3 linked regions of the Mytilus edulis genome follow. The protein of the gene in region 1 purifies or fractionates together with the protein of each later gene. This does not show direct contact. Links are inferred from orthologs where the notes say so. Each region holds a gene or a part of one and is shown on either strand. Other genes may lie near its edges.

Region 1 (8,491 bases):
GACAAAAAGTTCCAAAAAGTTGTGACCATGCAATACGGCTAGGGTTTTCTGTCTGGGATAAGTACATCCTTATTATTTAGAATAATTCATTCTTTTGCAAAAAGAAAATTTTATAAAATTACTATATAATAGATATACATGATAAAACTGAAGTGGTGACTAACTATGGAATAAAAAAGGATACATTACATAAAACAACCTAAATACCAGCACATAAAAATAAACAGCCGAGTTAGCCAAAGCCAGTTCAACGCACAAAGTGACGTCACATTTGAATTTCTAAAACCATTTCCAAAAATAAGATAGAATTAGGATAGAATTCAAGATTAGATTTGTAAGACTGATAAAATTTATGAGAATTACAATACTAATTAATATCAATTATGGTAGTAATTAGATAATTAATTGTATTATCTAGCTATGGTGGTGTTTCTTCTGAATCAAACGGTAAACCAAACATATCGTATAAATTTCGTTGATCCAAACTAAAATAACATACCATTTTAATCTGGTGTAAGAAAACAAATCATAACTGAAAGGGTTATTTAGATTAATTGCCTTTCTTTCCCTCAATAATGTGTATGCTTAGAGGAAGATGAACCGAGGAGACATGCATATACATTTAAAATATATTCAGTAAACAGGTAGTCGACGTCATGTAAGAGTTATAACTCATATATAACAAGACTCTGACTTCTTTTCAATCATTTTTATACGCCCGTCAAAATTTTGACGGGACGTATTATGGTATACAAATGTCCCGTGTCCGTCCGTCTGTCTGTCCGTCCGTCTGTCTGTCCGTCCGTCCGTCCGTCCGTCCGTCTGTCTGTCCGGCGTAAACATGTCGCACCGTAACTTGAGAACGACTTATCTAAATTTCATGAAACTTAATATAGTTGTTTTTTTATGATGGTCAAATGATCTGTATACTTTTTGGTGAAAATAAGATTTAAACTTTTTGAGTTACGGCACTTTGTAACTAAAACAGGGGTGTGTTTTTTTTTCACATGTCGCACCGTATCTCAAAAACGATTCTTGATTAGTGCTTAAAACTTTACACACTTCTTAGTTATATTAATCTTAATATCTGTATACTTTTTGGTGATGATTCAAAATTTCATTTTTGAGTTATTGAGTATTTTGTAAAAAAGGGGGAGGGTTTTTTTTTCATGTCGTGCCGTATCTCAAAAACGATTTATGATTATTGCTTAAAACTTTACACACTTCTTTGTTATATTAATCTAAAGATCTGTATACTTTTTGGTTATGACTCAAAATTTTATTTTTGAGTTATTGAGTATTTTGTAAAAAAGGGGAGGTTTTTTTTAACATGTCGCGCCGTATCTCAAAAACAATTTATGATTATTGCTTGAAACTGTACACACTTCTTTGTTATATTAATCTATTTTGAGTTATTGAGTATTTTGTAAAAAAGGGGGAGGGTTTTTTACATGTCGCGCCGTATCTCAAAAACGATTTATGATTATTGCTTCAAACTTTACACACTTCTTTGTTATATTGATCTAAAGATCTGTATACTTTTTGGTGATGATTCAAAATTTCATTTTTGAGTTATTGAGTATTTTGTAAAAAAGGGGGAGGGGGTTTTTACATACGATTTATGATTATTGCTTAAAACTTTACACACTTCTTTGTTATATTAATCTAAAGATAGTATACTTTTTGGTGATGACTCAAAATTTTATTTTTGAGTTATTGAGTATTTTGTAAAAAAGGGGAGGGTTTTTTTTACATGTCGCGCCGTATCTCAAAAACAATTTATGATTATTGCTTGAAACTGTACACACTTCTTTGTTATATTAATCTAAAGATCTGTATACTTTTTGGTTTTGGGGGGGGGGGGGGGGGTTCACATGTCCCGCCGTGTCTCAAAAGCAATAAATGGTAATTGCTTAAAACTTTCTCAGAAACTATTTACGATTATTGCATAAAACTTCCACACAAGACGTCGGGCGTATCATGCGCTCATGGCGCAGCTGTTTATTGTTTTTAATGTTCCTATCTGTCGATTATACTTTTCATAAATATTTTAGGCAAAAATGCAAACAAATTGTAAAAATATCATTAAATAAATAAGCAACAACTCCTATATTTAAAGGAATCGTCAGACAATTTCAGACAGTGGAATACTGACTTATTTGTTTATCATGTCATGTTGAGAACTTTTGTTGTTTAAGTTTTCCGAGGCTATACGAGAGAGGCGACTGATGTCAAAGGTGTTCATTTAAAAAGTCTTTAAAACCAAGAAAAGTTTTTACGTCAGACAAAAAAAAAACGAAAAAGACAATCAACTACAGACCTATATAGCTAGCGACACTAACACCATCAAACACCTGGGTGATCACGTGTTCTCTTGAGGAGTTAGCTCAACATGTGACATTCGTTTTTAAAAAATACGTTGTTAAACTTGTAATTTAGTTATATCTTGAAGTGATAAGGCATGCATGCACACCTCACAGTAGCGGATAGATACCCCACTCGATCTAACTCTAAGACATCACCAAATTAGTAAACCATCGGTAATGAGAAAATTTAATTCTGAAACTTGACCGTGGTTGAAATATTGAAATTTAAACCTTTGTCCCGACAAAGAATAGAAAAGACTGAACATTACCTGTGTTATAATTTATATTCATTCTTTGAAGAAATCTGACATAGAAAAAAAATCCCACAAAGAACAACACTGAAGAAAGATCAGCCCCTTTGAAAAAAACTAATCTATGGGTGATAGCAAGTGCTCACTCTGGGAGATAAATCTCGCACCTACTTTAATGAAAAATAATAATCATAGACATTCATAAGTATGCATATCATTTTTTTTTTCAGAAATGCTGAGATAGAACTGTACAGGTTGGGTGAAATTTTCATGACTTTGGGAGGGGTCTTGAATTGATTTTCTTTTTTTTTAAGATGGGGACTTGATAAAATATTTAAAAAAAACGAAATATGTCCGGCCAGGAATGCCCTTAATGAAAGACAATCACCAGTGCAGACCCTTAGCATGAAGCTTATAATATATTTGACTGATATTTGTCTTTATTTAACATAAAATCATCATAAAATTCTAATCTAGATGAACAGTATTATCGGGTGCATACAATTCAGAAACCACGGATTTGGGTTTACAAACTGATCAATTACAGGGTCGTGTTTAAAAAAAAAAAAGAAGGATTTTTGGAGTTTAAAATTTTTGATTATTTTGTGAAAATAAAAAAAATAAAAAATTTCCAAGCTTTGGAATTTTAAGATTTATAAACTTTTAATGCAATTTTAAGATATTTGATGAAACCAGAGACGAAACCAAGGATTTGTTGAATAAGGCAATTAAATCCTTGATGAAACTTTAAAGACTTAATTAAGTGTCAAGGCAAAGTACTAAACTTTTAATTCTAAAATCAGTGCCGGATCCAGAGGGGGGCGTAGAGGGCGAACACCCCCCTTTACTCTGGCTTTTTTTGTTTTTGTTTTGGTAATATGATTAATCAGACTAGACGTCGTGAACTTTGTCATTTCCCGTGTACTGTAGTATTTAATTTTTATGCGACCATTCTTTACTTATAAAGATATTTATCGCTGGAATTTACTGATTGTCAGAGTCATGTAATTCTCTATGGTGGAGTTGAACAGTGTGTCGAAAAAAAAACGTCGATTAGTCATTTTGAAATTCAAATTACAGTAACACATTGCTTAGGCTGTGGATGACAATCATGACACCTTCAAAGCGACACAGGATTGAGCAAGAACGTATTAACTTCTAATTCTATTTCACTATTCCACCAAACAATCTAGAGACATTTACACTCACATGAAAAAAAGTTCCAAGGCAATATTATTTACCTACGGAAACATGTTTAACCCAAAACGCCCCAGCCAATTTTAAAATACCATAGCTGAATAATGATCCCCAGTCAGTGTAAGCTCTAGATAGTCTATATTCAAAGTCTAAGGTACGAACCATTTGATTTGAGGAGACAGTCTAAGATATTTGTGTAGAAAAAAAATAACTCTGATTTTTGCCTTGAACAAAAATTCTGGCTGTATCTGGATTGACAACAATAATCATGTCCACTGTTTTTGCTAAAAAAAAATAAAAAATTTCCAACAGAATTATTTAGCATTAAATGAACATGATGAATAAAAACGGGCATTTCTTTGGGGGCAGGGGTTTGCATGTCTGAACGGAATGTCTGTTTCGCCGAACTGATATATTAAATACTTTTTTCAAGATCAGACTGCAACCTGCCTGATGGGTGTGGCCTTTATGTCTCCATTTGTCGACCGTCATTCATAAATTCGTTGTCATTTCAGACTCATTCTTAGCCTTTGGTTGATTTGGAACCCCTCACTTCCCTTAATTTTGTTGGGTGAAACATATTAACCAAACTTTGGATAAGAAATTGCTTGTTTGTCTTTTTTAACTTGTACCGGCCGTATTGTAAATTTCATTGAATACCCCGGCGTATATCTTGTTTACAACAAGAAATCTGTGAAGTTACACGCCAGTAACCGTTTGAAAAGTACTTATTACACTTATTTTATGTTTTTAGCCCCAAAAAGGTCCCAAAAATTTTTCGCCTCGCTCCGTTCGGCCATCTTTCAAAACTTCGGCCCCCTTTCCAAAATCCTGGATCCGCCCCTGAAAATCATAATCAAAAATCAAAAAAATCAAAAGCGAAGTAATAAAAAATTAACGTCAAGTTTTGTACTTTTAAAGTTTCATCACGGATTTGTAATGTTTGACTAAACTGTGACCGGCCTTCACTTCGCAGGTCTTTTCACCCGTTTTTTATTTTAAAATCATAATTAAAATTTAAAAAAATCAAACTTTAAAAAAGCGAAATAATAAAAACTATACGTCAAAAGAGGGTATCTGTGAAGTGGAGGGTTTAGTCAGGGACTTTCTATACTAGTATAGAAAGTCCCTGGTTTAGTCAAACATTTCAAAACCTACATGTACAACTTTTTGAGTACGGAAATTCGATCAAAACTGATCCCGTCACCGAGCAGAATTGTATACATAAATTTAGCGGGAAATAGAAATATACACAAATCATGGCCGCAACAGCTACACAAAATGCAATCACATTGAAAGGATCGACAGAAATAGTTTCCGAGTTCTTTTGTAAATGTTTCTTTTAATAACAACAATTTGCATTGTTTTTACACAATGTCTATCTTTGAACTTTCAGGAACTAATGTGTTTAACCCCAGCCCCTTTTTTTTTCAGAACGCATGCCAAGTTAAATTATTATTATTGAAGTATGACTGTATGAAGTTTAAATGCAATGCCATTGGGTAGTTCGATAATCATTTATCGTATAAAAATACACATGCACCCTCTATGAAGGTCATCACGTCAAAAACAAAAGGTCAGAATTCACACCACACAGTCACACTCACACAATTATTTTGAGTAAAAACAATTTCTGGTGGCGAAATTATTCAAACACTGTAGTCTAAATAATCATGATAATTATCCAAAATATTACAATGTCTTAAAAGGTTACACATCATAGTATGACATATGACAGCTCATTTGTTTGACGGCCCATTGTTCAGAAAAATGTTAAAAATGTACATATAGACTCGTCCACTGGAAAACCCATTCATGAGTTGTCATGCGTTTTAGTTTTTGGTATCCAAATAGGAGAATTTGTTTTATCCATTAAACAAGAAAATTCAAAATTGTGACTTACTTATCTTGACCTTTTCATCCACTGTGTATCATTGGTACGCGCGTGATCAATTTTGACCTGACACAGTAAGAAAAATCTTTTGTTTCGTTTACATAATATTAATGTGTACTTCAAATACTTGTCAGAGCAGTTGGGGTTAGTCTCGCCCGATTTGATTCTGTATTCATTGAAACTCTTTTTTTGATAGGAGGCCACTGTCATGTGCGTAATAAGTATACCTGTTTCAATAATTGGCATTGACATCTTTCTTACATATGTTATTTTAAATATTTTATTCAGATAAGAAGCGTGTATGGTGTAAAGCGGACCAAATAAATCCTTCTGTACAGTGGACAGTTTATCCCCGTACACAAAAACTTTATTTTCATGTGTTTTTGATAAAAATTGCTAACGTCAAAACTGCTGACAGAACTTGTTTTGAAATGATCAATTTTCAAATTAAAAAAAAATGACAATTATTATCATCCAGTGATTAAAAAGCACCATTATTGATTATTTGACGTGTGAAGAAATATACTATAATAGTGAATAGTCGTAATCCAATAGGTTACAGACAGTTGTAGACTTCAAATACAACCTTAAAAATTACGATAGTGCAAGTCCATCAAATTTGTTGCATCAATGCAACATTATTTTATCTGATAATGGGCAAATAATAACTCAAACTTTTTAAAGTTATTTTTTATTGTTAAATATTTCACAAACAAATCCCCCCAACATTCTGTAAAGGTTTCTGGAATTTTAATTATTTTATTACAACCCATTTAGATATGTAACAGACACTGGTGCACTTTTAAATGGAAGATGTTGATTGGAAAAAACACAAAATCATATTTCCACAAATATGCAATTTTTTCGTAAATCCACGAAAATTGATACTTTCGAAAATAAAAGAATGCACAGTACACTGAATGGATAAATTTGATCTATGACACAATGTAATAAAATTAATAAAATAAATAGTGGGGTGAGATGTGAAACAAAATCAGAAAGAAAACTTTAACCTTTGACTGTGACTCATGTTAAACAAAATGCTGTTAAAATAAAATAAAGTACATCAAGTTCATGTACACAGATACAAAAATAATTTTGTCATGTTTGTTGAAAGGAAAAGAAATAATTTTGTTCATTGTATTTTCTTTATTTGAATTCTGATTTGGATTACAATAGTCCTAGCCTTACATAATGTACATTAAACTTTTATGGCAACAAGGCATGTATTGGTAGATTTAATGTGTAGTCATTATACATGTATTCTTCATTGTAATGCTGCATTCACACATAATTTGAATTTGATTCGCATTAACTAATTCCCATTAGTTTGATACGCATTCAAATCGTTTTACGTCCAAATCTAAATTCGAATTGCAATGGGGGTCAAAATTCACTTTACTGCCTGAATGACGTTAACTTTTAATTCGTATTAACAAAAACGCATTTCTAATGCGAATTGGATAATGCGATTCAACCAATTCGAATCAATTGGAATTATAATTTAAAGGAGAATGTATGAACGCAGTTACGTATCAAATTCATTTGAATTAAATGAACATGTCAACGAGGCGTATACTTCTTATGTGACTCATTTTGAGGCAAATTTTGTATTAGGTTTATTGGGTTGTAGTAAAATGTAGAAAAGGTTTATTGGCCTGTAGTAAAATGTAGAAATTCTTACAGCCCCAAATAAATTAAATTTTATAAGCATGGGTTACTGGACCTGTGTCCAAGCGTAAACTACAATGTAAAGACAAGAAAATTATTCACTCCCTTATACAATGTACATGCTAAATGATAATACTGTAACAAAATACAGATTCCTCAACATGTCAAATATACATGTACAAATGTAAAGGCCCCCTTATATAATGTAAGAAAAGCAACGTTTTACATCATACATATCATTGCATATAGGAAGATGTGGTATGAGTGCTAATGAGACAACTCTCCATCCAAGTCACAATTTATAAAATAAACAATTATAGGTCAAGGTACAGTCTTCAACACGGAGCCTTGGCTCAAACAGAACAGCAAGCTATAAAGGGCCGCAGTATCAGTACGTATAATTCTCAATAATATTTTTTCTAGCTTTTGGGATCAACAGTATTCTGTATCAAAGAGGAATATATCCACCTGAGACGTTTACCCGACAACAAAAGTATGGACTCACTCTCCTTGTCACTACAGATGATGCACTAAAAAATTATCTGAATGAAGTTATTTCACAAGTGAAAGGTTTGTCAACTTATCTTAATGTCTGTAACCTTCTGCTGTTGTCTGTTATATGTTCATGTTGTTGTCTCTTTGACACATTCCCTATTTCCATTCTCAATTTTATGACATAAAACTATAACTGATACACATTCATATGCCTATAAAAGGCTCACAATAGTTTCTGAATTTACAGTATATGATGGTGATTCACTTTGTTATACTGGTACAATGTACATAGCATATTCACGAATTGTACACAGAAAGAGGGAGGGACTTTTGTTTCTATTTTAAGCGCTTCTTATATTACAATTGTGTGCTATGTGAACAATTGTTATCACTTGGTGCATTTTGAAATTTTTCAAAAAATCTTCTCTTAAGCCACTTATTCTGTGTTCATCCAGAATTAAATGTAAGTCATGTAGGAGTGGGTAAAATGGGAGTGTAATTAAACCTGATAAGGGTCAAATGATTATTTATTTTAATTTGTTTATGCATGAAGGTGGGACTCCTCCCATTATATTAATGATTTATTTACATTCTATATCTTTGATCTTCAAGAATGT
Region 2 (8,848 bases), on another chromosome or scaffold:
AGTATTTCCCACTGGGCTGGGCAATACTCATAAAACCCGGGTGTTTGCCAACCCTGTATTAAAGGTTACATTGGCATTTCTATACTAACACTTCTATACATGTATCTGGTTCTTTAACTTTCTCCGAATATCACATATATAATTCATTAAATATTAGCAGCCAGTGTAATTTACATGTAATATATTAATAACCATTCTATCCTATCTTTAATAATTCAATTGTAAATATGTGTTTTCTAGCTTGATGGAGTCAGATTCTCCAGTGGTTCAATATTGTTTGGTTGTTTATTTAACATGTTACACACAAATTTCAACTACTAATGACCATAGATAACACAACTATATGTACACATAACCAGTCTGTTAAATGCTTTTAAAAACTAAGTTTCAAATTGAAAACCTACTTGACAGTGTCATGTGCTGAGTGTAATTGGACATCCTGATATGACAGGGTTCGACACTAACGGTAGTCCGGTGCCCCCCTAAAATCTAGGAGGACTACCAAAACATGGTTAATCAGTAGTCCTGTGGACCACCTGGAAATTTGTATATGGTCTAGCTATTTCAATGCTAAAAATTGGCATAAAAGTCCTCCCAATTATGTTTACATTTTTCAAAGACAGTGATGGCATTTGGAAGAACTTAAATTTTATATTGTTATTATGAAAGCACTTTTAAGATCCAGATTAGTGATCAGAATCTTCACAGTGTTTGTAACACATGGGATTTTCAATGTAAAATGAAAATGTCTAATAACCAAAATGTGAAGAAACTGCAGATTAGACAGCAAAGGTCAGCAATAAAAACGTAGGTGTCAGAGAAAAAAATACTTCCCAAATTTGGAAAAAAAAATTATTACCCCTAAAAAAAGAAACAGGAAGAGGTAGTTTGAAAAAAAATCCAACAATATTTTTTGGTGGCTTTCTTATTAAAAAAAACCATATAATGCATGTCATTCAAAATGGTATTAAAGACATTTTGTTTTAATAATAATGATAATAATAATAATTCTTTATTTAAAGAGGGTTACACAGTTAGCTGTAATCTTCCCTGAGGCCCTCATGAAATACAATGAAATATAACAAACAATTACAAAATATCAAACAGACACACATACATGAATAATGAAATAAAAAATTGTTATGAAATATACAATTTTCAAAACAGGTAAAAGTTACAAATTCATATATGACATGTATAGTATTGGCATCAACAATATCATAAGTTTGAGTAAATGTGTGAAAATTATTATGCATATAAAAAATGCATAGCTTCTTAATGTTCCATCAAGTAATTTTTTTAAATCTTTTTTGAATGAGCTTGTACTTGAGGTTGATTTTTTCAGGGATATTGGTAAGTTATTCCATAAAATAGATCCTGAATATATAAAAGATTTCTTATAAAGCTCTGTTTTGGCTTTTGGAACTTGTTAATTTTTGCAAGAGGCATTTCTCAAACAATATTGGTTTATTTCTGGCATTTAAACTTTTCAGGGAGATATAAAGGGGCTTCATTCTTAAGGCATTTATGCATCAAAACTGATTTGTGGTATGAGATTCTGTTCTCTACTGTCATCCATTCAAGCTGTTTAAACAGTAGAGCTGGTGATGAAAGTGGATCAGCATCTAAAATAAGTCTTGCAGCCCTTTTCTGCAATTTTATTATTCTGACTAGCTCATTTTTAGCACAACCACTCCAAATAATACAACAATAATCTATCAGTGGGAGAATATAACCATTATAAAATAATAGCAACATATCCACTGAATTGCTTTCAACAGTGATGATGAAGTTGACCTCTAGTTCACAAACAAAGACATTAATATATTGTATCACTACAAGAAAAATCTTATAAACTGTTTGAAGAATTAATGAAAACTTTGACTTATTTTTATCCTTTTTTTCTAAATAATTCTGGAATAAAAGGTCAAATAACTCCACCTAACAAGGCCTTAGAAATTGTCTCAGATTGCAGATTTTGCATTTCATTTTTCAAAATTTTCTGACGGTAAAAGTTCAGGAGTAATAAAATTTATTCACTGAATGTCAACTTTATTTTATCTGAAAAAAAAACAAAATATTTTCAAAACTCGAATGAATATTTGTGTGCTTTTGAGGTGCTCAGATGGCAGGAAATTGCATCTTATTTCGAAAAATTTTCTTGGGGGGGCATGCCCCCAAACCCCCCTAGCTAGTTCGGGCCGCGTTGTGGCCCTCACCGGTGATGGAGGTGGACTACCAGGACTACCCAAAATTTTTCTTGGTAGTCCTGTGGACTACATCACCTCTAATGTTAGTGTCAAACCCTGGCATATGTAATATGATGTCAACAAAAACATTTCAGCTGTGAAACAAGTCTATTATAGTCGGCCCTGTCTAGCCGAATGGTAATATACAATGAAGTGACGAAAAACAAATAACGATCTATGGACACTAAACTAGAAGAAATTCAATCTAATTCAGTGTATAATAATCTGAGTTTTGTATTATCATACAGAATAATCTTACCTTAGGTGTCTGTCCCTTGACCTTTCCTGCACGAGCAAGAGAACCGTGAACTTTACCTGTTGATAAAAAAAAATATTTTTAAATAAAGTTCAGGTAGGAATAGTCTAAAAGATTTGTATTGGCATTGGAAAGAAAGGAAGAAGATTCAAACAAAGACTCATATTTGTTGTATTATGTAAATTAGACTGCTAGTTTTTTCAGATGAATTAGTGTTTCATATTTTTCGTGTCAGGACTTTTGAACTGCTGACTATATGGTATACAAGTAGTTTATGCTCAAAGTTGAAGGCTGTAAGGTTGCTAATAAATATTTGATGAAAAAGTGGCCAAATTAAAAAAAAATATTACCTCCAAGCATTCTGAGGTCAACATCAAGAGTTGAAAGTTCATCGACGCTAGTTAGCTGAAAATCATCTTGTAAGGGTTTTCCTCCAAACATAATAACCTGTTCTTCAACTGGAAATCCATCCTTTGCTAGTAAAAAGCTCTAAAATCATAAAATTACAGGTTCACTTAAAATAATTACAAATCTATTAAAATGTCATAAATATGTTAATGATACTTGATAGTGATCAATCTCATTTTTGTTTGTTTTAATCATGTAATTAGGTTCTTGTTGTCCTGTTCTTAGATTGTATGTTTTGTTTTGTATACCATTGGTCTTTGTTTTGTGCCTGGCATCTTCCACAGCTTTTTTCAATATATCTTTCTTCATATTTCATGACTTTCATGTCATAAGTTATCTGATCACTGAGGAAAATGTGGAAACCAGTTTACTCAGAGAGCAGACCAGTGGGTTCTCAAGTGGTAGAAACAGGATGCTCTTGTTGTGGCTTTATATATAGTGTAATAATAATAAAAGATGGCCTTGTACAAAAAGGGTTGATACATCATTTACATGTACATGTATGTGGTCAGCCCAAGCTTTACATTAATTTATAACGGTATAGGCAATATTTAATCTTTCTATTCAAATCTAAATGTTTCTTGTGAAAGTCGACATTTGTTTCGTTTTCACAATACTTTTCCACTTTTAATCTTGTTTAACTTAACTTATCTATTCCAGTTGAATGCAATTGTCTTGACATACCCTACAAATCCAGTCCACTAGTGTGGAGCAGACAGTGAGAATCACAGGCTATAATCCAACTGAACACCATGTATACATATCAAATTACATGCTAAGACTAAAACTTACAGCAATTTGAATAGATACATTTTGTATTAAAATAAACAGCAATTTTCATATTCTGACAGGTACAATTAAATCATATTTTTGAAACATTCAGTCTGCATGGTTAGCCACTAGTCCAATGCCCCAGACTAGTCAAATTTCATTGGGACTAATAAGTTTTTGCAACTTTGTTTGGCCCAATAAGAAAAATGTCAGAATGTTGGTCTTCGGAGTTGAAAACATTTCTGATGCAGACGGAACATTAACAATAATCTGGATGTAAATTTTAAAATCTTATTGTGACAAAAAACATCTTTTTTTTTAATTTCTCTATTCACCTTGATATCTGCAATGGTTTCTGTTCCTGACACCTCAAAGGTGTGGGTTTGGCTACCCCGTACAAAAAGCTGCATGTTTAACCTAGAGATAAAAATAAAATAAACATGATAATTATGTTTCAGTAGGTCGAGTTGTATTCTTCATACACTAAATGCATTTCAATATCAATGAGAACAATATTCCGTCAAAACTACATGTAGTCGTGTAGATGTGACAATTTTAATTATATAGTTTTCTACAATACTTTTGTAAACCTACATCATCATCATCACCAACCTGACCAATCGTCAATGCTGTTTTAACTTTTTTGTTTGTTTGTTTTTTTAATTATTTTTCCTCCGATCCTGTAGGATGAATTTTCACTATTTTTTTCATGAGTTATAAACGTATTTACACTTTTGGTATTTAGCTGTATTGTGCCTCTGAATGACCTTATATCACCTCCGAATAACCTTTTGACGTCAAGCAACAATAACCTTTTAGTTGTGACGTCAAATGTTTTGAATTATGATGTCAAATTTACGGGAACCTGTGTGATTTTATGTAATGGCGGACAAATTTGCAAACAAGTGTAAATACGTCTATTGATGAGATGCGTCACAAAATCCTCCAATTTTAAAGAAATTATTCATTTTTCTAATTTTGGCTGGACAAGTTGGAACAGATTTGAAACAGACTGATACCAGGTTTTAAGATTAATATGATTTTATGAAAAATTTGTTTAGTAGGAGTCATCTTTTGAAGACAGTAGCCAGTGATCTCTCTCCTTAGTCTTGGTACCAATTCTTTCTGATATGATGTGGAGCGATTATCTGATTTGGTCATACACTGAATAAGAAAATTTCTAGCACTAACTTCATATGATATGTGTTCCAAATTAATTATTAATATTATATATTTATGGATATCCCGTCTTCAGCATGGGTGAGATTTACAGTTTATCAACATATGAAAAGCTGGAGTGAAATTAGCCGAGCACATACCTGTCTGTTCGTCAAAAAGTGGTCTGAGGAACGTGCAATATTTTATCAACTTTTAATATAGTGAAAATACATTAAAATAGGACAATAATCATCTAACAAGACTTACACGTGCTGGTGCAATGCAAAATCAGTCCAAAAAGGAAGTATATTTGTACGCATGCGTGGAAATACTACCCCGAAATCTATGACGTAAAGCACAAACGACTAGCGCAGAGCGCTCTCATCTAAATCGAGAAGCAAAAATGTCTCAGCAACTGAGCCAAACCAAAGACCAAGAAACAACATACATCCCTTGTCTTCATCGCATTGGCGATAATGTTAAGAAGCACAAGCTTATTAGCCTTGAAAAGAAAACCGAAGTATGCTATTTACATAAATTGTCCTTTCAAAAATATATTATAACCATGATATAAATACGTAATACAAATAAATCTTATGAGGTCCAGAAAAGTTATAGATACCCCTCTCTCTGTAGACAATAAACATAGTTGAGGTTCATCAATACACTTTAACAAAATGACTGTGTTTACACCATGAAATTTTCTCTGAGTACAGACAAAACTGATTTGAAAAGTTTTTTAGCCTGGCAGCATCTATGGTCTAGCTGCGAATGAAGTTCTTTTGATGATTTTGATATTTGCGGACAGTAAATTATGCCAAAAAAAAATTTATAAGACAATAGAGCTACGTTTTCTCAGCTAGGCAGCACATAGATAGTGGGTCTCATTAGGGTCTAAGCGTGATGCGGGATTGCCGTTTTTTTTAATAAGCGTGACACGTGAAATTCTGTATTCTGTAGGTGTCGCTGTTGACACTGGATTGTCCCTCTTTTAATTGTTCAAGTCTCGCGTGTAAATATTTCACTCTGGTAAACAACTCACTTGTACTTTAAAATATATACTTTTAGGTGGCAACTGTCAATGACTGTGCTTAACATATTTTGACAAAAATCAGTGATATTGTTGGCTTTTTTCAAAACTACCTGTACCCTTTTTTATTGGGAAAATATGCGTAATTTTCATCAAATTGGGAAATTTAGATTAAACAATGAATTTGACTGAAACTTCAATTTACAGACCCGCTTTCAAGAGTCAAACCCTGTTTAAAAATAAGACTGCTTTTGTCAATGATGATACATAAATAGACCCTCAAATCTGCACATATAGTAATTTTAGGCTTGTAAAATGTATACACTAGTGTTTTTCAGTTTGTATTCATGCAAAATAACTACTGAGACTGCACTGTTTGGGAAAAAGTTGTCTTTTTGGGAATAATTTTAAGCCATTTTTTTTTCAAATTGGGATTCTTCTCCAGGGGAAAAAGCCTTTATTCTCCATTAATTTAAGGCAAACAATTACACTGAAAATTAAAAACATAATACATTTATTAATTAACATGAAAATTTAAAGGAAAAAAAAAAGAAATAATAATTAATATTTCATTAATCAAACCGGCGTGACTCGCAAATAAAGCCACCCAACAATCGCATTAGTGTTTCATTAGAGATGGAGACATTGTCGTTTTTTTCCATCATGACAATAAAAGTTCCAAATCAATATGCAACGATCCTGTGTTTAAGTATATCTCATGTATAAGTTTCTGTCTAGCCTCTTCATAATTTTCACAAAATAGTAAATAATGTAATTTTTTAGATGGTATCCGGATCTTAAAATTCTAATAATTTTTGCTGTTTTATGATCTGGATAATCAAATGTTGATTTTTTGCTGACAATCTGATGAAAATTGTAATAAAATCTTCCTGTATCACTATTATCCCATCTATGTTGCCACTTTTTCACTAAAATTCTTGCTGCTGTTTTAATATCTTGTTTAGTTACTGTAATATGAGCTTCTTTTTTAATTTGATTTGCCTCTTTAGCTGCATGTCCTGGGGTCCATTCAAAATTAATTTTTATTCCACGATGTTTTTGGATAGATTTAATAAGGGAGTTGGGTTGGCAAGAACCTTCTGTAAAAGCAACAACTGTTGCAGGAGATACTGTGTTAAGTTTGTTTAATATTACATTTTTTCCTGTGATTTCTTGTTTCTTTTAGTAGGCAGGACTTTGACACTCAAAAACATATCCATTATATTGTAGAGTCATTTAATTACTGATATGGTACAGAAACAAAGATGTTCTCTATTGTACATGTAACATGTAACCAGTAGGGCTTTTATATCTTAAAAATGTTTCATCCCAGTAAATCCTTTTTTTTCAGTTTTCAGAACTTTTTCAATCCAAGGTCGGTGGTTTTCTCAGTAAATGAAGATTATTGGACTCAACTTACATGATTTTGATACATTGTACATCTTTGGATTCACTTATTTGGAAAATTAAATAATAGTCCTTGCAGATTTTCATGACTGCAGAATTCAATGGAGTTGTCATGGTGAGACTCCTGCTGTATTTTATTAAAATATCTGTTTATTTATCTTGTAGGTTACTGTAGGGAGAGCGCCAGATGTCACAGTTTGTCTCTTGTCTAACATGATATCAAGATGTCATGCCATATTCAAATGTAATGACGAGGGACAGTGGACTGTGAGAGACAATAAGGTACGTAATAGCCACATACAATCTTATTTAATTCAATCCTTTGTCTGAAGTTATTGTTTGAGAAATAAATAAAGATGTTTTGATCATACATGTACATGTATATTGATTTATCCTGCAATTGGGTGTTGTACTATACAGATAAAGCCCTACAGATATTGCTATGCTGTATCTGTATACTATACAGATAATGCTTTAAAGCTCCGCCCACTGCCAGACTGAGTATTATATGAACCTGTGTGACCTCAGAATGTGTATTGCAGTTGCATTCCAATGACGTATCAATTGCGAATTAACGATTACTTTTATACGTTCTGTTTGTTTTCAAACATTTCTTTAGAGCAATAAGAAACACCAATTTTCTGATAACATACACACATGAACAGCAGTCTTTTCTACGATGACAACTATCGATTTCAAAACTTGAATGTGTATGATTGTGTAACAAAAACAACCATGTCAATTTCAGCATGCATGTTTAGTGAATGTCGAGTCTGAAGCATAGGACAACTCGTACACTCCTGTTTCAAATTGGACAATGTTTTGTTATTTGTTTTTACTGTTGAAATTAGTTGTTATGTTAAAATAGATAATTATTCACCTTGAGTGATGTATTATTGTTGACCATTCAAGATTCTTTCTTTGCGAACCCGTCTTCAGCTGAATGTGTGATTACTGTATTGTATTATTACACGGGCCTCAAGAGATTTCAAATTGAAAATAAATGCAAAACATGTGTTTTTGTGTCTTTCAAAACACAAATATATATACAGAATTAATAACTTGCCTCGAAACAGGTGTAATAGCTCGCTAAAAGCTCGCATACACCTTGTTTCCTAGCCTCGTACAAATACAGCTGATATTTAAAGGCACTAAACAGTTATTGTCTATGTATCAGTGAAGTGGAGACAACACAAGCAATGACAAGTACATTTATTTATAGGGCAGTTAAATCTTAAGGTCAGTTGTTCCCAGTCAACAAAATGTCTAAAGTAATCTGATCTAAGAACAAAATTTAAGTATAAAAAATGTATAAAGCATATCCTGATATCTTATAAGTCACCTGCCGAATAAGGTTCAACAATGAAAAACAAATATTGTTTTGTCTGAACTGTTATGGTCAGTTACATTGTAGAAACCCTTTCCGCCATTGATTTATTTTTTTGCGTACTTGATTCGCATAGGATTTTTCAATAAAATGCTGAAAATATGCTTTAAAGTATTAATGCATTACAAAAAAACAAATATTTCATCAAATGAATGTAAGTTGGATATTCCTTTGATATTCCT
Region 3 (8,739 bases), on another chromosome or scaffold:
CCAAATAACACACCATGACATATTTCCCGACGGATGGATTCGCGATCGATGTTCAATGATAATTTTATTTCTAAAAACATGACAGTTTGAGACGATTTGAGCTTGTAATCAACATTTTTTCACTTTCTATTAATTTAAATCACTCCTCGTTATCTTTATTCCAAGTTTATTTTAATTTTTTCAACTACAAATACTCTCATTCATAATTTTCATCGTAAATATCTTTAGCAATGTGTATTCAAATTTATCACGTGTATTCAATACGTTCATTGGTCATGTATTTATAGATTCTTCTTCTCGACCAATGAAAATATTCGTTATTTAAATGATCAAGTAATCACACACACGATGTGTAAATACAATGCATTTGCGATCTATTTCTTCAATTTCTGCACTGAAGTTTTTAATTTTTTTAATTCTCTTCTGAAAATACAGATTTTCTTGATGATCATTTACGCTATTACATGATAACATAGTCCGATAAGGCTGAGATAAGCGTGGCTCAGGTAACACTAATTATCAGTTATTGCGCAACACTGACCGACCTCTCAGCGGTGATCAGCAACTTGACAATTTTAACCAACATTTATAATGAAAATGTGAAAATTAACATGCTGTGGGATCAAGTATTAAGGCATACCTGTCAACTCACCCGTTTTTTGCGGGTGACACCCGTTATTTTCACCTCTCACCCGGGAGTTTTTCTTTACCCGGCGGGTCCCGGGAATTTCTAACATTTCCCGTTTCACCCGGATTTCTGACCGGAATTGTTTCCGTTATTTAGAAGTAATGTGGCCTTCGGTTTTATCGGTCTTTTTCAATGTAACCAAAAGTCAAAATGTAGGACTGTTTACCTGAGCTGTGAAATAGCTTCAGGTTATTCCTGTGGAAAAACTAAAACCACCCAAATAGTAAAGAGGGCCCTTTCAGTTGAAAATAACAAAGTGGTAGTTGAAAACAAGCCAAGATTTTTTGTTTTGTCAAAACTTGCTAAAACATTACTGGTTTTGCCAAACAGCAATGCAGACAGTGAGAGGGCATTTTCTTTGAATCCGGGTCCGTCCGCCCTGATTTTTGTTCGCCCTAGTTACTGTTCGCCCTAGTTCCGTTTCGCCCTGAGACCGTTCGCCCTGATACCTGTTCGCCCTGGGTATGTTCGCCCTGATTTATATTTTTTATTATAGTGTTGTGTTGTGTGTATTTAATTGAATATGTTGAAGTCAGTCTACAATTTCGCCGAATATTTACGATTTTTATTTTTTTTATAGTGTTGTGTTGTGGGTTTTTAAGTGAATATGTTGAAGTCAGTCTACAATTTCGCCGAATATTTAAATGTAAAACAACTGAAGACTAAATTATTTGTATGTAATGGCATATGTTGAAGACTGTTTACATTCACCGAATATTTATTTATGATGTATTACGTGTTGCTGCTTTTGGGAAATAAGTGTCTCGGAATTTCAGCACTACATTGTATTTTTAAATGTACTAAGTTATTATGTTGTCTTGCTGCTACGAGGATAAGTTTCTGTGATTTCAAAGACTACAAAGTATTTGACATGAAACAACTAAAGACTAAGTTATTTATATATTTAACTTTATTGATACATTTTAACAATATAAAAATATTCAGTAACAGTTATAACAAGATCGATCAATTCCGAACTGCACTTCGCACACCTCCTCTGGTGCTGGCTCAACTATTGGCTCTGGTGCTGGCCAGTTGATCTGTTCACATGGTGTGCAAATGAACTGTAGGTCATTGCCATGTCTGGCGTCTTTGTAAGCTTGAAAAGTTATACCTAAAATTCAAATTATATATTATAAATATATTCACATGTGAACAATATAAACATCAATATAAAATTACATTGATATTTTTTATATATATAAATCTACTTGTACTAGAACATAATACTAAATATGAGAAAACATTCATACTAACGTAGTTATATAGATATATATTTGACTTTTTTTATCTTAATATAGTTACTTTAGTTCATTAATTATATATATGGGTATATACTGAAGGCCGTACATTGACCTATAATGGTTTACTTTTATAAAATGCTATTTGGATGGAGTTGTCTCATTGGCACTCACACCACATCTTCCTATATCTAGATATATATATTCTTGTTTAATTCCTGATGAAAGTTGCAACAAAATTTAATATTTATAAATTAAAACACTTACCAGTGCCACACAATCTATGCTACCATTTCTCACATACGTCACATGATGCTGCATGTTGACGAGGTCGGACCTCTCTGTCACAAGAAATACACATGTACACTTCCATAGTTTATGGAATAATGCACCGGTTCCATAATCCACTTCCATATATAACAAATTTGTCAAAACACACTTGAGATCAAAGAAGCCAAGCTGCGAAAATAATTTCCCTTTCATGCCTAACAATTTGTACATCAGTGTTTCTACCCATCCAAGCTGACTATTTTATTTGAGAAAAATTGTATTTTCATTATTAATCCATCAAAGACAATTCATATAACAATCAGTGATATCAAAGATTTCAAATTATACCTAATCAGCAATCAAAATTCAATCAACAGTAATTAAAAGTAATTCTAAAATAAAGTGTAACAATGCAGCCACGAATTTTATTTAATTAATATTCTGTATTCAGCTTTAATAGATAAACATAAATTTTAATATATATAAATATACATTTCTTTTATAATGAAACATATTACATATAACATATACATATCATTTATAGATAAACATAAATTTTAATATATATAAATATACATTTCTTTTATTAATGAAACATATAACATATACATATCATTTATGAGAATAGGGCGAACGAACTCAGGGCGAACGGAATACCAGGGCGAACAAACTCAGTGCGAACGAACCTAGGGCGAACATGTAATCAGGGCGAACGATCCCGATACCATTTTCTTTAGTAAAGAAAATAGCTACAGAGTGTAGGGCTGATCTTAATAAGGATACACTGTGTGCTCTTCTTTCTTGTAAAATGAATACACATTTGCATTGCTATGAACTGAAACCAAGTGCAGTTCTTTTAAAGAATGCCAAGTCTGCTACTATGGAATATAACAATAGTCTGAAATAAACTTGTATACATGTTCTAACTGTTTCATATACATATTGACTATATAAATTATATGTAAACATATTTTTGTTCTTCAATTGAGCCCGCAAAATGTCGTACGCGTTATGACCTGAGATTTTTTTTCTCATTGGAGGTCATGACCTGACTTTTCATTTTCAGAGGTTGACAGGTATGATTAAGGGACAGCGGCCAATTAAGACGCTGCAGGATCTACGAAAATATTATGAAGGCGATGCGGCACCTGGGGAGAACACTGGACAATTGAAAACAGGCATTTGTTTCTATCAATGGGAAGGTCGAATATCAAAATAAATTATATACAATGTATCTTCGCATTGTCATTTTCATAGATACTGATAGAAACATGTTCCTGTGTTTAACGGCATTATTGGCCTTGTTAAGGGTGATACAATTTTATCATAGTTTTCTAAATAAACGTACAAGCTGCTTAAGATCATGAAATAGCTCAGATTCGTGCAAAAACCGCACATGATCAAAAAGATTCATTTTCCTCCACTATTTATTTTTACTACTTCCTTCTTTCGGGTTTCTCTAATTTATCTTCGATTGCGATGGGAAAAGTCCGCATGTTCCGAGGGAAACACGATCTCAATCACTTTAGTGTTTATTACAGTCATATTTTTACTTGAAACTAGAGGAAAAAGGTAACATTGAGCAAAATAAATGTGCTGAAAATAAATAGCAAAAATGACATCATTTTTCAGTAAAGAGCAAACAGGATATGTTGCTGTAGGAATAGGAGTCGGTCTTGTCATTGGATGGTTTCTTAAAGGACGTCTCCGACCTAAATTAGCTGTTTTATCATCTAAAAATGGTTTAAATGAAGTAATTTCAAGTAAACTCTATACTTTCGGGGTTGTTCACATAATAATTTAGAAGTCTAGTCTGGGAATAATATGAGGCAGGCGTTACCTGAGAAAGGGGACAAAGTCCGTATCAATTATTTTTTTAATTTCAATATATTTTAATGTTAAAAAAGAAACGGAAATACCGTAATGTTTCCGTTGTTGGTCCTTTTTAGTTATGATGTCATTTTCAATGTAAACAAAGAAACCCTATCATCAGGTAATATGAGGCAGGCATTACCTGTGAAAGGGGACGAAATCTGTATGAATTATTTTTTTAATTCAAACATATTTTAACTTCAAAATCTGTTAAACATGTTAAAAAAGAAGCGGAAATACCGAATGTTTCTGATTTTGGTCCTGTTAGGGATTTCAGTTGTGACGTCATTTACATTTTTAATGTAAACAAAGAAACGCTATCATCTTCTGGTTTACAGAATGGTGTGAAAGGAGGTGATGTAGTTGGCAAATATTTTCTTGAGTAGACTTGATTAATTTTGATGGGGCTTGACAAGCAAATGATAAGGGATTCCAAGGTGACAAAAATCTGCTTCAGACTCAGAATCCCATAAGGAATTATCCTAGGTCCAGTTAAGACAACATTAAAAAATCTTACTATATGATAATGAGTTTGTTTATTTAAAGGATCACTATAAGTTTAACACACTGGCTATGATTACGTTGAAACGTACATGTAATGTTAATAAAAAAGTTATAGTTATGTTGGACATCTAAATGCAGAAATGCTATTTTGGGTTAGGAACCAATTAACTATGAGCGTACCAATAATAATTGTGTCTACAGCTATGTTGCGTTATTGTTTCGTTAGATTTATTAAACAGTCAAGGGTCTAACTTAAATAAGTTAATAGAGAAAAATAACAAGCATGTGTTATTACAGACACTTTCATGAGTTGTCTACTCTTTTTTCCTTAAAGGGAAACTTCGCAAAAAAATCAAAAATTGATATTATGTTCATTCTGTATAAAAATGTTCAAATTCATAGATATTAAAGTTTTATTCCGCTAGATAAGCGATCACCATCGATTTTAAATTTAGAGTATCAATTCTCCGAGATCCGCCATCTTGTCTTCTTTCCCGATGAATAAAAACGATATGTCTATAAACCACAAAGAAACAAAACTACAGTAACCGATGTAGTCGTAATTGCGTGTCGATATCTTGTCAATCGTACGGTTGTTTAATACGACTAACTAACTTGATACGGAAAATATTCTTACTGTTTTTAAATTACCATGGTCTGTTGTTTTTAAACTGTTGATATTGGAATTAGGTGAAAAGTCAAAGTTGAAATCATAAATAAGTGTTCCGTGAAAATTGTTTTCGAAAATCTAATTTGTTCATAATTCTTTAAAGTAATAAACTTTTTTCAAATATATTTTGATCTTCCCTTATCTGATCACCAGCATGGCTAAAGGTATTACTTCCAAAGGTATTGTGAGGGGTGTGAGGTGACACGTCCAGGTATTCAAGCGATTTCCTGTCGGGCTTGCAAGTTCATGCATCGTTTCACTTCTGCAGGTATTGATCAGTGTACACGGCTGATAACTTATAACTTATAACTTTCCATTTTGAACTATCAGATGTATAATATACAACTCTGTCTTACTTGTCATTACTAAACTCATACGCTTGTTTATAAATAACATTTCTGGTGTAAAGAATATAATTCATAATATATAAATAATACCCAAAAAATAAGATTTGATGAAATTAAAATCTATTTAAATATTTTTTCCAAGGGTGAATTTGGGAAAATGTAATATATAGTCATTGTCAATAGTGAAGGACAGATTGGAACAGACCAGAAATATTGATTTAAAAAAATGTACGCACTTGCCGACGATTCGTTTATACGACTGGATATAAAGTTACGGAACTATAGCGCAATTTAAAATATATACGTGTATACATTGAACATAAGAAAAAAACATATATTTTGAATAAATAGGGGTAAAAGTGTTGTAAATAGACTAGCCAACGTATGCCAACAGTATGTAATCATCGAATGTCGATAGACTACAGTTGTATACCAAAAGAAGAAGAGAACCAATTTGATTTAAATACAGGTCGATGTATAACTTTTGCTTTGGTTCATTGAAGCTGTGGACCTAGGAAAATCACAGATTTATATTTCAATAAGATTGTTCTCAAACAAAGGAAGGAATTCGTCATCACAATTGTTATATATGCCACTGGACGAACACTAATTATCCCCAGGGGATGTGAATATTTTGCTGGGAAACTTTAGAGTATCAAAGTTTCAAATTAATTTAGGGATTTATTTTCTTTCTTGGTATTCAATAACCGAAAAAAGAATAAATTACTTGTTCGCTAAATAGGGATATTCTTGTCAGATAAAAGAATTTTAGTTATATTTAAAAAATAGGGAAATATGACATTAAATTGGTTCTGTCTTTTTTTAAACATCGTTAAAACGATGTGTGTCTAAGGTGAACGCCACAAGAACCCTGTAATACTAGTACGAGAGTATAGCATGTAAACATTCTTTCTCAATAATATGGTTGTATTGGAAAACTTTTCATACAGATTGACAACTCATTGTCCGATATGCATGTAATATTTGCCACATGACGCCCATAGTTCTTTCTACCATCATCACCTTATTCCTTGATATTGCTGTAAACATCGATGGTTCACACCCAAACAAAATGGGAGTAATGAACCTTCAGAGCTTCTCTGTGTTATACACTTGTGAAATATATAGACGAAATTTCTGTATTGAAATGAATCTACATCTCACAAACAGGATTTTCAAATAACGATTTTGAGTAATCACCTTACAAACCAATATAAACGTATGGCAAGATATAACCATGAAGGAATTTAGTTTTTGAAAAATGACGCTTTCAGCGGCATGTTTCTATACTAGTGAACTGAACTTCCATTACATTTCTCTGCCTACCGCGCTTGGTTCGTATTTACTTTCCATTACATTTCTCCGTCTACCGCTCTTGGTTTCGTATCTACTTTTTACATTTAAACTGGAATTTGCTTTTATTATGATTTTTGTGTAGTAATCAACCGGGAACCAGTTTGCATACCTCCGGTCCTTCTTATTACCAAAAAGATGGAAGTGTACCAACCAATGTTGTTAAGATACTCATAAATCTATTTTTATAACTTTATTGATTATGTGAAGTAAAACTAAAACATTGTTAAAACATTAAAAATCTATAATTAATCGGGGAAAACTTGATAGTCTTTTCTTTTTACAAACCACTGCCTTTTTTATAAGAAAATATAATGTGTCTTCTTCTTCTTCTTCCAGGTAAGGAACCGGATTCATTGCTGAATGTTAATGGTTCCGCGCGAAAACTTTACGCAGTGTCGGGCAACACAGAAAGATTTCTCTTGGCTATTTACAAATTACATTGTCCCTGTTGGTCCACTTTCTATTGGAAATAAGTACCGGAAATCCTACTCAATCTTTGTTTACAAAGTTACAACAGTAGAGTCTGTAACAGACTGTATCTGTATGACATGTGCATTGACATGTGCATAAATTGTCGATATCGATGCTGGCTTTAATACAACGGTTTTATTGGCGGGGTGGGATCGTTCGCCCTGATCGGTGCGATCACTGTCTTACGGAATTCTAGTCAAATCGGCACCTGGTCAATTCGGCACCCGGTATAGTCAAATCGGCATCTAGTCAAATTGGCACCTGGTTAAACCGGCACTTGATATAGTCAATTCGGCACCCATGTAAGATTTGTTTAATATATATTTTAACAGTATTTTAAGCAAAAACAGTAAAAATAAGGAATGGGTTGTCCAGAAATTTTACAGTATTTACCCAAGAAAAGGTAGATAAGGAAGGGGGTTTGATAGAAATATTAACCTAATTTTATCATGTTTATTCACATTTTTAAAGGTTGAATTATTTATATTTATTATTGGATGCCTAATTGGCTTTAAATAGGTGCCGATTTGACTAGATGTCGATTTAACCAGGTGCCCATTTGACTTGTACCATATTATTAAGGCCCTAAAGTGAGTTTGAATATTGTACGGTGTTTTACTTGGCGGAATGTCAATACACTCACAGTAAGAGTTATTCTTTGCTTGCTTTTCCACAATAATTGTTTCGTGGTATTCTTTGAATTCCTCGGCAGTTATGGTTCTCTTCGGACATGTTTTTAAGAGGAATTCGTCTGGTTCAATAGCGCGAATCAGCCCCTCAACTTCTTTGTACATAAATACTAACTTTGGCTTGAACGTTTTGTTCGTTCTTGTTGTAGTTCCAGTTTGGCAAATATTTTGGAGACTTATCCATCCTCTTTTGACTTGTAATCTCTGGTGATAAATATTGCTGCTTGACATGTTTATTTTTGTTACCGGGTAGGGGTCGCATACGATGGCTCCATATTAAATTATAAGATCAATTCCTAAAGGTCTAGTTCATTATCCAATCTGACACAAATTTCAATAACTGGAATGCCACCCAAGTTGAATATATGGTGACCCACTGTAACAGCACAATTACTTGGGATTGTGTTTAATACCATGATGGTTCAATGGCATAAACTTAAATGGAGACAAAATTTAACATGAAAGATTGTGGATTAGTGTAAAATAAAAAAAAACTAGCTTACTATAATATATGGTTAAAGAATGAATATCAAATTATATGGGTCATGGGCAGAGTTGTTATAAAATATCAATATGGCAGAGAAGTGGTTTCAAGTTTCATATAAAGGGACCTGACTGACATGAAATGAAA

Evidence for each region. Proteins that work in one complex are often made in the same cells at the same time.
Region 2: the proteins of mitotic spindle assembly checkpoint protein MAD2A-like (region 1) and E3 ubiquitin-protein ligase RNF8-like purify together in Homo sapiens (co-immunoprecipitation; 3 studies listed by BioGRID and IntAct, with this or other methods). This does not show direct contact. The link is inferred for Mytilus edulis from reciprocal best matches to the Homo sapiens genes MAD2L1 and RNF8.
Region 3: the proteins of mitotic spindle assembly checkpoint protein MAD2A-like (region 1) and anaphase-promoting complex subunit 7-like purify together in Homo sapiens (affinity purification with mass spectrometry; 3 studies listed by BioGRID and IntAct, with this or other methods). This does not show direct contact. The link is inferred for Mytilus edulis from reciprocal best matches to the Homo sapiens genes MAD2L1 and ANAPC7.

What each region holds. Positions count from the first base shown.
Region 1 is NC_092352.1:71,757,919-71,766,409, reverse strand, and holds the start of mitotic spindle assembly checkpoint protein MAD2A-like, read left to right. Parts: upstream 1-5,024; 5' UTR 5,025-5,073; coding exon 5,074-5,143; intron 5,144-7,802; coding exon 7,803-7,949; intron 7,950-8,491. UniProt on the Homo sapiens protein: Component of the spindle-assembly checkpoint that prevents the onset of anaphase until all chromosomes are properly aligned at the metaphase plate.
Region 2 is NC_092346.1:50,165,104-50,173,951, forward strand, and holds the start of E3 ubiquitin-protein ligase RNF8-like, read left to right. Parts: upstream 1-5,173; 5' UTR 5,174-5,245; coding exon 5,246-5,362; intron 5,363-7,444; coding exon 7,445-7,561; intron 7,562-8,848. Other genes in the region: ubiquitin-like FUBI-ribosomal protein eS30 fusion protein, read right to left, coding at 2,509-2,564, 2,856-2,994, 4,020-4,101, 5,110-5,162. UniProt on the Homo sapiens protein: E3 ubiquitin-protein ligase that plays a key role in DNA damage signaling via 2 distinct roles: by mediating the 'Lys-63'-linked ubiquitination of histones H2A and H2AX and promoting the recruitment of DNA repair proteins at double-strand breaks (DSBs) sites, and by catalyzing 'Lys-48'-linked ubiquitination to remove target proteins from DNA damage sites.
Region 3 is NC_092349.1:56,636,732-56,645,470, reverse strand, and holds the start of anaphase-promoting complex subunit 7-like, read right to left. Parts: upstream 3,676-8,739; 5' UTR 3,614-3,675; coding exon 3,548-3,613; intron 1-3,547. Other genes in the region: peptidyl-tRNA hydrolase 2, mitochondrial-like, read left to right, coding at 3,815-3,952. UniProt on the Homo sapiens protein: Component of the anaphase promoting complex/cyclosome (APC/C), a cell cycle-regulated E3 ubiquitin ligase that controls progression through mitosis and the G1 phase of the cell cycle.